Sus scrofa: one gene and its partners. The protein of the gene in region 2 interacts with the protein of the main gene of each other region in a pairwise test. Links are inferred from orthologs where the notes say so. Each region holds a gene or a part of one and is shown on either strand. Other genes may lie near its edges.

What was found.
Region 1: the proteins of DAZAP2 (region 2) and RABGEF1 interact in binary tests that used the Homo sapiens proteins (3 or more experiments, as listed by UniProt). The two-hybrid records come from large-scale screens. The link is inferred for Sus scrofa from reciprocal best matches to the Homo sapiens genes DAZAP2 and RABGEF1.
Region 3: the proteins of DAZAP2 (region 2) and ZC3H10 interact in binary tests that used the Homo sapiens proteins (3 or more experiments, as listed by UniProt). The two-hybrid records come from large-scale screens. The link is inferred for Sus scrofa from reciprocal best matches to the Homo sapiens genes DAZAP2 and ZC3H10.

What each region holds. Positions count from the first base shown.
Region 1 is NC_010445.4:16,374,031-16,378,180, forward strand, and holds the start of RABGEF1 (rab5 GDP/GTP exchange factor), read right to left. Parts: upstream 2,566-4,150; 5' UTR 2,450-2,565; intron 1-2,449. UniProt on the Homo sapiens protein: Rab effector protein acting as linker between gamma-adaptin, RAB4A or RAB5A. Involved in endocytic membrane fusion and membrane trafficking of recycling endosomes. Stimulates nucleotide exchange on RAB5A. Can act as a ubiquitin ligase.
Region 2 is NW_018085018.1:160,701-164,850, reverse strand, and holds the start of DAZAP2 (DAZ-associated protein 2), read left to right. Parts: upstream 1-1,288; 5' UTR 1,289-1,353; coding exon 1,354-1,366; intron 1,367-2,364; coding exon 2,365-2,483; intron 2,484-2,892; coding exon 2,893-3,138; intron 3,139-4,038; coding exon 4,039-4,150. UniProt on the Homo sapiens protein: In unstressed cells, promotes SIAH1-mediated polyubiquitination and degradation of the serine/threonine-protein kinase HIPK2, probably by acting as a loading factor that potentiates complex formation between HIPK2 and ubiquitin ligase SIAH1.
Region 3 is NC_010447.5:21,505,442-21,509,546, forward strand, and holds the start of ZC3H10 (zinc finger CCCH domain-containing protein 10), read left to right. Parts: upstream 1-1,068; 5' UTR 1,069-1,175; intron 1,176-1,288; 5' UTR 1,289-1,313; intron 1,314-1,706; 5' UTR 1,707-1,729; intron 1,730-1,998; 5' UTR 1,999-2,846; intron 2,847-3,627; 5' UTR 3,628-3,691; intron 3,692-4,105. UniProt on the Homo sapiens protein: Specific regulator of miRNA biogenesis. Binds, via the C3H1-type zinc finger domains, to the binding motif 5'-GCAGCGC-3' on microRNA pri-MIR143 and negatively regulates the processing to mature microRNA.

The DNA of each region.
Region 1 (4,150 bases), on a different chromosome or scaffold from region 2:
CTGACAAGAGTAAATGAAACAATATCTTAGTTCTTCTATATGTAGATAATAAGTACTGATCAAAAATGTTTTTTCTGAAAACCAACCACTGAAAATCAGAAATCAATGATTCCTTGGAGTTCCCATTGTGGCTCAGTGGTAACCACCCCAGCTGGCATCCATGAGGATGCAGGTCTGATCCCTGGCCTCGCTGAGTAGGTTTAGGACCTACTATGCTGTGGCATAGTCCTTTAGCAGCTATAGCTCCAATTCAACCCCTAGCCTGGGAACTTCCTTGTGTCACAAGAGCGGCTCAAAAACGGAAAAAAGAGAGATAGAGAGAAAAAAAAGAAAAAGAGGAGTTCCCGTCGTGGTGCAGCAGAAATGAATCCGACTAGGAACAATGAGGTTGTGAGTTCGATCCCTGGCCTTGCTCAGTGGGTTAAGGCTCCGGTGTTGCTGTGAGCTGTGGTGTAGGTCACAGATGCTGCTCGGATCTGGTGCTGGGGTGCAGGCTGGCAGCCACAGCTCCAATTGTACCTCTAGCCTGGGAAGCTCCATATGCCCTGGGTTTGGCCCTCAAAAGACAAAATGACAAAAGACAAAAAGAAAAAAAAGAAAAAAGAAAGAAAAGGAAATCAATGATTTCTCAAGTCCTCATGGAACACTTCTGAAAGCCCAACTTGGATTAAGAAGCAAAGAGATACAGGCAGAATTCCTGTTTATAGAAGCTTACAAGTAAGCAGGGTCAGACACTCTCCCACAATGACTAAATGAGAAGAGAATTCAATTCATTTAAGGAGCAGAAAAGATTAAAATACAAATAGCACATAATCAAGCACTATGCTGGGAACAACCCTCATCAGTCAACACACAGCAGCCTATGTGTAAGCCTTATATAAAATTCCATTTTAACCAGGCAAATAACCCTCCTTAAAACCCTTCCCTGGTCCTGCCATCACCAGATAAAAGCCCCCCAAGAATCTCCTGCATCTTTTCCCCTATCAGCCACCACAGCTCTGCCCTGCACTTTTTCACTTTTCAAAAACCACCTCCCGGGAGTTACTGCCCTCTTCTCCTTTAGTTGCCCCACGCCCACATTCCCACTACCCCTAAAATTCCCACCCCATCTTGCTAGTCTGAATGTTACTCATTCTTCAGGACACTTTCAGATACATTTCACTCCCTGCGGTCCCTCCAGACACTTGGGGTGTCCCCCCTCAGTGACCTCTCTTAGCTCACACTGCTCACATTTATGGCAAGGATCTCTGCTGTCCTTCTCCCTTAAAGTGCCTACTTTCTGGAGAAGAAAATGATGGCTTGGAAGGTCCCCAAAATTCAAATCCTTCAACACTTCTTAATTTTCCACCTGAGAATCAGTAACTCTTAAAACTAACGTTATCTGTCATGAAATGGATCGAATAAAAATCAAATCTTCTTGCACCTCTGGGAAGCTTCCTTGGTACTGCTTAAGTTACTTATTAGTAACCTTAATAGACTTGGGGGGGGGGGTAAGTGTACTTTTGCAGCCTTAGGTTTACAGAAAAAGGTACAACAATGAGTTAATCTCAAAAACAAAACAAAAGCCACAACTCTTCAGATCCAAAAAACGACTCCCCAGGTGATGCTGTAAACTCATCCTGACCAATTTTCACATCTAAGCTCATGAGCAAAGCGAGCCCCCATAGCCCACGGACACATTTCCCAATCACAGGGCTTGGCCATCAGCGTTGAGACACCACCAGCAGACTCTGATCTACTCCCTGAAGCGGCTGGGTCCCTCCTCCTTGTCGACTAAACTTCCGTGATGAGCATCACCTCTGCTCTCCTCCAAGACGGTTCGGAAGCAGGGACTTGTGCTCCTAACCTCAGGCCCACAACTTTGTCCTCAATCATAGGGCGAAAGTTAGGACCAGTCTTCCAGCTCCCACGCCGCGAAAGACAGCATCCTCCCAGCTCCCGGACCCTTCCCTCTCTGAGACCGACGCGGGTTCCCGAGGTCCCGGCGGCCCTGCCCAGGCCGGGCTGCGACGGGTCCCCAAGGAGCCCAAGGCACGACCCAGCCGGTCACCACCACAGGTGTCCCTTGGTACTCTGCCGACTGGACTGAGTGAGCCGGTCGGAGGGAAGCCATCCCGCGAGAGCTGGACAGGCGGCAGGAGGCGGCCAGGAAACGAGACGCGTCTGTCCGTCGGAGTTGGGCCGGGCCGCGGGCAACTTGGCGACAAGCGCCCTAAAACGGCAGGCCGAACGCGCAGAGGATGAAGGGGGCCGGCGACGGCCTGGGACCGGCCAGGGCCCCGCCACCGGGCCCTGGGCTGGGACGAAGGACGGCAAGAGGGACCGGAGCGAGATGGCCCCGGCCGGGTGGACAGCCTAGACCAATGACCCAGCAGCCCCTGTCGGGACGGCACCGCCACCGCGAGTCGCGAACCGCGCCCCCCTCGGGTCCCGTCCGTCCGCCCCGTACCTCGCCGGCTGCTCCACCCGCGTCGGGACCGCAGCTCTCCCCGCGTCGCTCGAGTAGGTCCCGGCGCCAGTCCACAACCCGCCCTCACGCCGGCCCTCCCTCTCGCACGCCCCGCCCCCGGCGCCGCGAGCGCACGCCACGCACGCATGACGTCACTTCCGGGGCTCGGAGCTCGCCGGGAGGGTGTAGGTGCCCATCGGCATCTGCCCTGGGTGGCGCGAGGGCGAGGCTGGCGTGGATGACAGTGGCGACAAAGCCGTCGGGCATGAGGAAGGAGGCGCCCTCAGCCCTAGTGCTGGGTCCCTGACCTGGAGCGTTCAGAAGCCGACGGAGAAGCCGGCGTTTCCCTGTCTTTTCCTCACCCACTGTATTTGGGAATCCCACTGAGAGAGACGCTGCTCATCCTTAGCTCGAAATGGGAGGCACTGGAAAGGCTGCGGGAGAGAAGTCTTTGGGCCAGTGGACAGTTGCAGTCTGTGGGGAATGAGGCTGCCTGAGAAAGTAATGAATCCCATAGCTTCACACGGATCTTAGGATTTTGAACGTGGTTTGAGTTTAAAGGACCTTAAAGAGAGTGACTGACCTAGAAGCAGGTTTTATAGCTGAGCATAACTGAATTCCAGAGGTTAATAAGTTACCCAGTGTCACACAGTATTAATGATCGAGTCATAAATGGAATCCAGTTCTCCGTGATTCCCATTTCAGGAATGTTGGAGACAGCGGCTGCCTCTGTATTCTGGATGGTATCTATGGCACAAAGTGCAGCCACGACTGGGAGAAAAAAAAAGAAAAAAGAAAAGAAAATACTAGAGTACAGTGTCTGGAGGGAGACCTAAGTTGGAATACCAGGTTTGCTAAATGCTGCCTCTGATCTTGGACAGGTTGTCTAATTTCTCAGTCTTTGCTCATTATTTGCCAAATGGAGATTGATTCATTCCTCAGATTATTCCTAAATTCTGTAGGGAAGCAGAATATGCCACCCAAAAATATGCCTCTGAGAAAGCAGAGAAGCCCTGAAAACAAACCAGAAGTTAACCTTTTGTACAGGAAATGAAGCTAATGAAGGAGATCACGTTAGTAAAGGGGTCTCCCTCTGTACCTGGGAGAGAAGGATGACTCTTAGGTCACTAGAAGCTCAACTATGGATAAGACACTGACTTAGAGCTGCATGACAAACCTTAAGCTTATTTTTATTCCCCTGGTCACCTCCCATAACTGGTCTCCCCTACACACACACACACACACACACAAACACCTTTCCTGTTTTTTCTTTATTGGAAAATGGTATTTAAGTGGGCATTCTAAGCCTTTTCTCAGGGTATCTCCTTTGTATGTGTGAGGTATACATGGTAATAATTTTCAGTTTGTTTTTTTGCTTATTACTCTTTTATTATAACTTAGAAGAGCAGAGGGAAAATGATTTCCCCTCCCCTACAGCACCTAATGTGTGTGCTAGGCCAAGGATACCAGACTGTTAAAAAGTGGTGGGGGGGGTGGGGGAGTACCTATGCTGAGAAGCTTACATTCTAGGGAAGAGGTGGTGGGGGGGGAATAAGTAAATAATAAATACATTATGTACAATAGTACATGAGACAGCAGTGATTGCTTTGAAGAAAAATCATGCAAGGAAGGCCAGCCAGTCAACCAGGAAGACTGAGGTTTTTGGGTGGACAGCAAAGCCCTGGCTAAGGAGGTGACTAT
Region 2 (4,150 bases):
AAGATTCATGAAGACCCCCCAGAGCATTGCAGGGGTGCTCTGCTCTGAAAACTCTGAGCATAATATGCTACTGGAAACAAAAGCAAGGGATTGCTGAGCTGAAATCAGTGGTTTAAATCATTCATCAGCAAATATTTATCAGGCTTCTACGGTTTACTGAGGGCTTTTCTTTCCAAAGTTTTCCCTTTTCAGATGCTTTTCTAATGTTCTTACTGAAGTATAGAATGTAAATTCCATAAGAAAACAATGTTTGCCTGTCTTGTCCAGCTCCATCTCTACTTGCACAGAGCAACACCAGCAGATATTTTAAAACGAAGAATGGAAGGAAAAACTTATTTGCTGCCTGAAAGGATGCCATCTTTGCCCTTAAGAACAAGGTTTTTGTTTTGTTTTGTTTTGTTTTGTTTTGCCTCAGCTAGGAATGCAGAAATTCCCACGCCAGGGGTCAAACCCTTGCCATAGCTATAACCAGAGCCACAGCAGCGACAACGCCAGGTCCTTAGACCACTGAGCCACAAGAGAACTCCAAGAACAATTAATTTAGGAGATACACAAAGGAAAATATACATGAGGTATCACACAGTTGCCTGTAACAGGTACCAAAGGAAGGGCAGGGCCACAGGCACTCCTTGGGGACCACAAGAATGCCAGTTTCAGTGTTAGCTGTAGTGTGTGTGGGGGGGGGGGGGGTTCACAGCACAGCATACCCTTCCTTTTAGTGAGAAAGCGACACTGAAATAAACACAGAAGCCTGTCGGTAGAATGGACAGGCTGAGAAAATTCGAGTGATGGTCTAAGTCAGAAAAGGACAGATGTGAATACGACCAGCAAAATAAACCTCTATGGAGTTGAGGCTTAAGTTGGGTTTAATGGGAGGGGAACACGGGATAAATCAAGGGTTTGAGGAGCGTATTTCAGGCAGTTAGAGAAATTCGTAGCACTGTGCCCCCTGTGGAAAGACTCTCAAAGTAAGGTGACCTTGAGTTGCAGTGCGTAGGTGGGAAGGGTTTCGGGGAGCAGTGTGAAGGTACTGCCTCAGAGCGACCAAGAGAGAAAAGATACTGTTTTGAGACAATACCTGTACTTTGTTTTCTTCCAATCAAGGGACAAGGGTGGGGGTTGGAGGGCTCGACCCAGTGGGCGGGGCCAAAGTGAGTGGGCGGATCACGCGGGTCCTTCCTCCAGCTACTGGAGACCTGGCGAAGGGGCGGGGTTTCCGGTGGCAGCGGCATTCGGGCGTCGGGTGACGCTAGGCGGACGAATCGTCACGTGACACGGAAGTGACTACGAACAGGAAGAGGACGAAAAAAATAACCGTCCGCGACGCCGAGCTGAACCGGACCCGCAGCCACCATGAACAGCAAAGGCAAGGACAGGGGGTAGCTGAGGCCATCGGGGAGAATAGTGCTGGCCCGGAGAGAGCGGGCCCGGGACCAAGGGTCATCAAAAGCCAGGCCTGGGGCTAGTTGCGCCGCGCTCCTGGGCCAGCTGTAGTGCCGGGGGTTGCGCCAGACGCCTTCGTCATCCCCGAACTACGGCTGCTCGCCCCCTCCTGGCCTTTTCCCCCTTAAACTCTGTGGCGCAGTTTGGAGCTCCGGGCTCGAGTGGGGGGCCGTTGGAGCGGGGGGGGGGGCGAGAAGGCTTGTCGTGATGGGCATCTGCAGGCGCAAATGGGGAGCTAGAGCTGATATTTGGGTAGGCCAATGGAGAGCCTGCGGAGGCGGGGCGCCGCGCTCCGGAACCACAGGCAGGCCCCAGGGCTTAACTAGTGAATTGCCGGCCCTGGTGGGCGGGCCGGGCAGGCCGAAGGGTCTCTTTCCCCTTAACCTCGCTGGCCGCCTGAACGTCTCCCAGTTCCTGTGTTAGGACATTCGCCTCCACCTCCTCTCCCATCCCAAGGCTCACTTTCACCACTCTTTTTATTTGGAAGTCGACCTTGAGTAGGAACCTGTGAGGTGGAGGACTACAAACACCGTTACTCACGAGCTCTAGGCCAGTTTCAGCCAGGCCCTGGGGGACCACCAGAGCAGAGAGGACGCACACACTTAAAACATCGACAGGAATGGGTGCGCAGACATGCCCATTCTGGAAGGATCTTGGGCCTAGATAGACTTTCCCCTTGTACCAGTGTGCTACTGTAAAGAGACCTTCCAGCCCAGTTAGAATCCAGCATCTCAGTTATAAGGGTACAAAGAGTGTTTATTTTCTTGGTTCCAGGAATCAGGCCCTCTAGGACAGTGTTTTTGCAAACCTCTTGCTGGCTCAGTGAGGTTAGCTACCCAGTATGCTCTGCCCCATTTTGGTTGCTCTGTGTGGTAGGCAACATTCTTTTTTTTGTTTTTTGTTTTTTTTCCTGTCTTCCAGGTCAATATCCAACGCAGCCAACCTACCCGGTGCAGCCTCCCGGGAATCCTGTGTACCCTCAGACCTTGCATCTTCCTCAGGCTCCACCCTATACTGATGCTCCACCTGCCTATTCAGAGGTGCTTCCAGTTTACTAGACTTGAACTGAGTACTCTTGGATCACATTTTCAGTCTTTAGCTAAGTCTGGCTCCACACATGTATTTACTCTCCACAAACAGGAGAGAGAGCTCACGTGGATAATCTAAAACCTCTTTATAGTTCAGCAATTTCAGTTGGGGTTGAGAAGGCATTATCTGATTATTTTGCTCTTTGGCACAGGCTGAAGTTGAGAAGATGAGTTAGCGTTCTTTGAGCCCAACATTATTTCTAGCAGGAAGTGATCCAGGAGGATATTGAGTGGCTGGTGGAAAGGCAACTTGTGTAACTCAGAGTGTAATCTGCACAATAATTAAGAATTGCCTCATGAAAGAGATCTGAAATAAGAATGTCATAAAGTAACGTGTTGCCCTCTCTTCTGCCTCTTCTAGCTCTATCGTCCGAGCTTTGTGCACCCAGGGGCTGCCACAGTCCCCACCATGTCAGCTGCATTTCCTGGCGCCTCACTGTACCTTCCCATGGCCCAGTCTGTGGCTGTTGGACCTTTAGGTTCCACAATCCCCATGGCTTATTATCCAGTTGGTCCCATCTATCCACCTGGTTCAACAGTGCTGGTGGAAGGAGGGTATGATACAGGTGCCAGATTTGGAGCTGGCGCTACTGCTGGCAACATTCCTGTGAGTATGCCTTTATCACAAAAACCTCAGCCCTTGTGTATATTAACTTTCTGAAATGACTACATAGTCATCCTTTCATCATCCCTGGGCAGTAGTTGCTGGTATTGGTGCAACCACTGACGTCCAGTAATCAGGCAGAATTCACTTGAGGGGGCAGGAGAACTGTGGGAAGTCAGTAGCCTCTGGCATATTCACTGAGGTCTGAGTTAACCAGATTCCTTTGTTTCTGTCTTAGGAGTCCTGCCTGCTGCTTTTCCAGTTCACTTTGGTACTGGTCTAGTAACACTCCTCATTCATTCCATAAGCATTTACTTAATATTTGCACAGCATTTTATCAGGAGCCATGATGATTAAAAAGTAGAATGCGTATCCCTGTTAAGTTCCCTTTAGGAAGACTTTACTAGGGCTTTTACTATGTCTCCCACTTAGTTTCCCTATGTATGGTAACTAGAGCCCAAATGGTCCTTGCTAGGGCCATTCACGCAGTAACCATATGCTAACAATGAGGTGAGAATGCTGTCATCAGGTAGAGCCTTCAGATTATCCATGTGAAAACTGTTGAGGAACTCTGTGGTGTAGGGCCATGGACCTGGTAACCCCTCCCCATTTTTTGGAATGGGAGTCAGAGGGATTTTCCACCCTGCAAATGCTTATGGGTCTGGACTGTGCATACCCAGGAGGGATCCCTAGGCTTTATCTTGGATCTGGGACCCTTTAAATGAGGGGTAGGATCTGTTTTCTGTTTATGTCTTGGGGCTCACAGAGAATATAGACCTGCTTCACCCACACTGCTGGCTCAAGTAGCACGTTGCCATCTTCCTGACCGGTCCTCTTTCATCTTTGTCCACTTCTCTCGTATCAGCTGCCCGGTGCCCAATCAACCTTGTCTTTTCCTTTCAGCCTCCTCCCCCTGGATGCCCTCCCAATGCTGCTCAGCTGGCAGTCATGCAGGGAGCGAATGTCCTCGTAACTCAGCGGAAGGGAAACTTCTTCATGGGTGGCTCAGATGGCG
Region 3 (4,105 bases), on a different chromosome or scaffold from region 2:
TCCCCTGGTGGTGCAGTGGGTTAAGGATCTGGCGTTGTCACTGCAGTGGCTCAGGTCGCTGCTGTGGCCTGCCTGGCCTAGGAACTTCAACTTTTGCATGCAGTGGGCGGGGCCAAAAAACCAAAAACTTACATTCTGATGGAGATAATACTAAAACCACCTAAGCACTTGGAACAAGGGTCCTAAATTTAGATATTTTTTTTTCCAGAGCTAAAAAGGGGAAAGGTTATAAAAGGAAACCACTAAAAAAAAAGGATTATAATAAGCCTTTACTGTATTTTACAGTGAATAAGGCGAAGTCTGCATGATTAAAGGTTCCCTTTCATCCTAACTCAAGTTTCCTGTAACCAAATCTTTGGGAGTCTTTTTCTGGGTGCTTCTGACCCAATCATACGAGGAGACTGGCAAGTTATCTTACCATCAAATACCATTCTTGTCCTAAAGAAATGTCTAGCCGATCCTAGCTAGCTTCCCTTCTGTTCTTTGATTTGATCTTCACGTTGTGTAGAGGGAGAATCACTTAAGTATATTCTAAGCCAGATGCTTTGTGGCCAGGAATCTAGTGACATTCTGCCTCAGGCGTTGGAGTTGGCTAGAAAAAGAGTTGATCTATCTTAAATAGTGCCAAAGGTCTCTGTAGTATGACAAGCTTTCTCGACTCCCCACTTTACATCCTTCCACGTTCTGGAATCTTAGAACCTTTGGAAGTTCCGAAATAGAATCTCCCTGCAGCAACTTAGGTTCAGAACATAAGGCAAACCAGTTTTTGTAAACTCTGCATCTATCCACAGTAAAATGGAGGGTGTCGCCGGGAAACTGCAACTCCCATGAAGCAATGAGAGGGAAGACGGAAGTCACTAACCTACGCTTTTCTGCACTTCTGGGTCTCTTACTGGAAATACATGCTCATATTTAAATAATATAGTATCCTTATAATAAAACCTGGGGAAGGGAAATTTTGTAACTCACACTCAAAATAGTCTATTTTCCAAGAGAACTGTCCCAACTCAAACACTTACCACGAACCCAAAGGGCCAAAAGCTATTGTTATTACCCTCCCGCAGCCCCGCCCCTGGGGGCAGGGCGAGACCACGGAAGTGACGACACCGAGCATTGCATTAAATATCCGTAGGCGGGCCCCTAGCGCTCTCTCGGCCTTAGCGCCATCTTCTGAGGTGAGTCTCGGTTTGGGCTCTCTCCGGTTCCGAGTACAATCCGTAAACATCTGATCTCTGCGATTGCCATCATTACAGCGAACTAACTGTAGACTTTTTTTCTTTACCCGTAGAAACCTCCGCGCCATGAGAGCGAAGGTAAGCAGTCCCCGTTAGTGAGCTGAGGCTCTAAGAATTGGCAGTTGCAGGGGAGACCCAGGCAAGGGAAGTCCGCCATCGTTCTCGGATCGCTAGGTTCTCAAGGGTGCCCAAGAGCTGGTGGGACAGGGAGGATAGTTTGGGGAGAAGCAGAAGCTGGGAGTTAAGTGGGGGTGGAGAGCGGGAATAGGATAGCGCATGCGGGATTGGGGTTTTACAGCGGGGATCCGGGTGGGAGTCCAAGTTGTTGATGTGATTACTGCGACTAAGTCCTCCTAAGTGGTTAAACCTGTCTGGTTAAAAATTACACTATTTATATTCCTCCCTAAACTCGTTGCTACAACTAATGATATCTCGTTTTATTCTCTGCTTCTGGTTGTGATCGGTTGACAGTGGAGGAAGAAGCGAATGCGCAGGTATGCTGAGACTGCAAGTACAGGGTGGGGGAACTGGAGCACACCTTGGGCGAAGCTTGGGAGGAACATTTGGTTTAGAAATCTAAACAGCTTAAGATGAAAAACATGAGCATTGACTTGGCAAAACCAGGGATTGGACACAAGAGGATAGAACCGTAGTGTTCGTTGATTTTTTTTACCCACCCCTTGTATGGTATGCACATTTTAGATGGGAGGGAAAGAAGATTGGGTTTGTGGGCAGGAGGTGCATTCTCGTGTCTGGTTTTCAGGCTGAAGCGCAAAAGAAGAAAGATGAGGCAGAGGTCCAAGTAAACTTGTACACCGTGGAAGCCACAGGAGCAGAAACGAAATCCCAGAGGCCAGGGACGTTGGTACAATTTGTTGGACTGCATGCCTTCTGTCTAGAACTTGTCTCAATGGATCTATAACAACTTTTCGCCGTTCTGATCGCCTGGACCACTCTGAGACCCACCTTGCTCATATCAAAATGGTCCCTTTTGGTTTTTTGCCCTGGACCTGTGACTTTCTGGACTAGTTCTGTTCTCAGTTGTGGCTGAATGTAACACGTGTACAATAAATTATCTGCTGTTTTAGCTGAAGAAAAAAAGTCATCTTGTCTGTTGATGTGGTTTTTATGGTTCATTGGCTGGGGTGTTCTGTATGAGTACTCGCTTTAGAGAATATCTACACTGAGTCGGGGGTGCGGGCCCCGCCCCTGGCCGACTGGTTCTGGACCCTGGGAGTTGCTGGAGTGTTGGGTGGCTCTTATTTCCTGGAAAGGGCGTTACACACGTCAGGGACCGCTTTCAAGTTGATTTCGCCGGCGTGTGGGCAAACAGTTCCGCTCATCGTCCGAAAGGGCTACATTTGCTACGTCCCGCGCTTGGGGCTCTTTGCTGTGCTGTTGGGTCCGGTTGCCATGGTGACACGCAAAGCCTGCTGGGAACTTCCTGCGGCTAATCGCGCAAGTGCTTCGTGAGCCATAGAGTATAGTTCCGGGTCTGGCGGCTAGAGCGTCATTTCTTCCGCAGGAAGCGGAAGGGCGATAGGGTAGGCGGCTCTTTGTCGAAGCTAGAGGACCGGCAGGCGGCAGCAGCAACTACGGCGGCGGCGGCAGGTGAGGGAGGCGGGAGACTTAGGTGGAGGCCGCGCCCGGAGGGGAGGAGTCGGGGCCGGCCCAGCGGCTGGGCTCGGCCGGGCTACACAAGGCCCCCCAGGACTGAGTTTCCTCTGCCTCACGTCCTAGGGCTGAACCCCTTTTCTGACTGACCCCGCTTTGCGAGCAAACGCCAGCTCCGTGACGTCACAGCCCTGCCCATCCCCTCAGCCTCATGTCACCTGGAGTCCCCCTCCCCGCTTCACTTCGTGCTCCTCTAGTGTCCTGTTCACCTGGTCCCCGGCTGAGCTCTGGCGGTACTGCACAGGAACCTGCCAGACTAGAAGACTTGCTTTGGGAAACTCCTAGGACTTTTCGCAAACTCTGGGGTGTTTCGAAGCGTCATAATCACCGCCCCCAAGTCTAATCTGCCATCCCACTGCGCTGTCAGTCGCTGCCCTTGCACGGCTCCCTATTCGGAGTTCTTAACGCCAACCCTAGACCAGGCTACGATCCACGCATCCTCCTTCATCTTGGGGCAGGACGCCCCTCACCCTTTGTTCACTCAGGACTGGTTTTTTTCCAACTCATCCTCCTAGGCTGTCCAAATTTGTTCTGTTCCTTATTATACTCTTCTTACTGATAGCTTCTGCCTTTGACAGGTGAAGTTCAATTTGTACCCTAAGGAAATCTTAGTTCCCAGAGCTCTTGCCATTTGATTAGACTTTATTCTTGTAACCACCCCATAGTCCTCTGTTCTAATCCCTTCTCACACCCAAGTCTCTGTTTTTCTCCTGTTCAGAACCCAGCAGTGATGTGGAGGTGGAGACCCACAGGAGCCCCGGACTTCACCTGAGCTACCTCAGGTATCTAACAATCCTGGGAGAGTTGGGTGGGCAAGAGTATGGTATCTGATTATCTGCTTCTGGTGGGACTTGCAACATGGATCAGGCTTGGATAGGTGCCATTTATTTTTCCCCAGGTCATTTCCTTTTTAGTAGAACTTTGTATCTTCTCTTTTCTCAACCCTTTTTCCTTGGTTATTTTTATCATTCTGGGACTGTCTCTGTTTGGAGGAAGAGGAGCCTTCTTGTACAGATTCTCTTGCAACTCTGGTCCTTGATAGCATGAGTTCATTTTAGGGTTCATTTTGCCTTTAAGTTAAAATCAAGGTAAAGGACTGAGTGGTTAGGGGCCATCAAGGGCTAAAAAAATTGGAAAGATTCCCCTGCACGCTAGAGGACACGATATGAAGTTCTCCCATTTGAACAGCAGGGGGA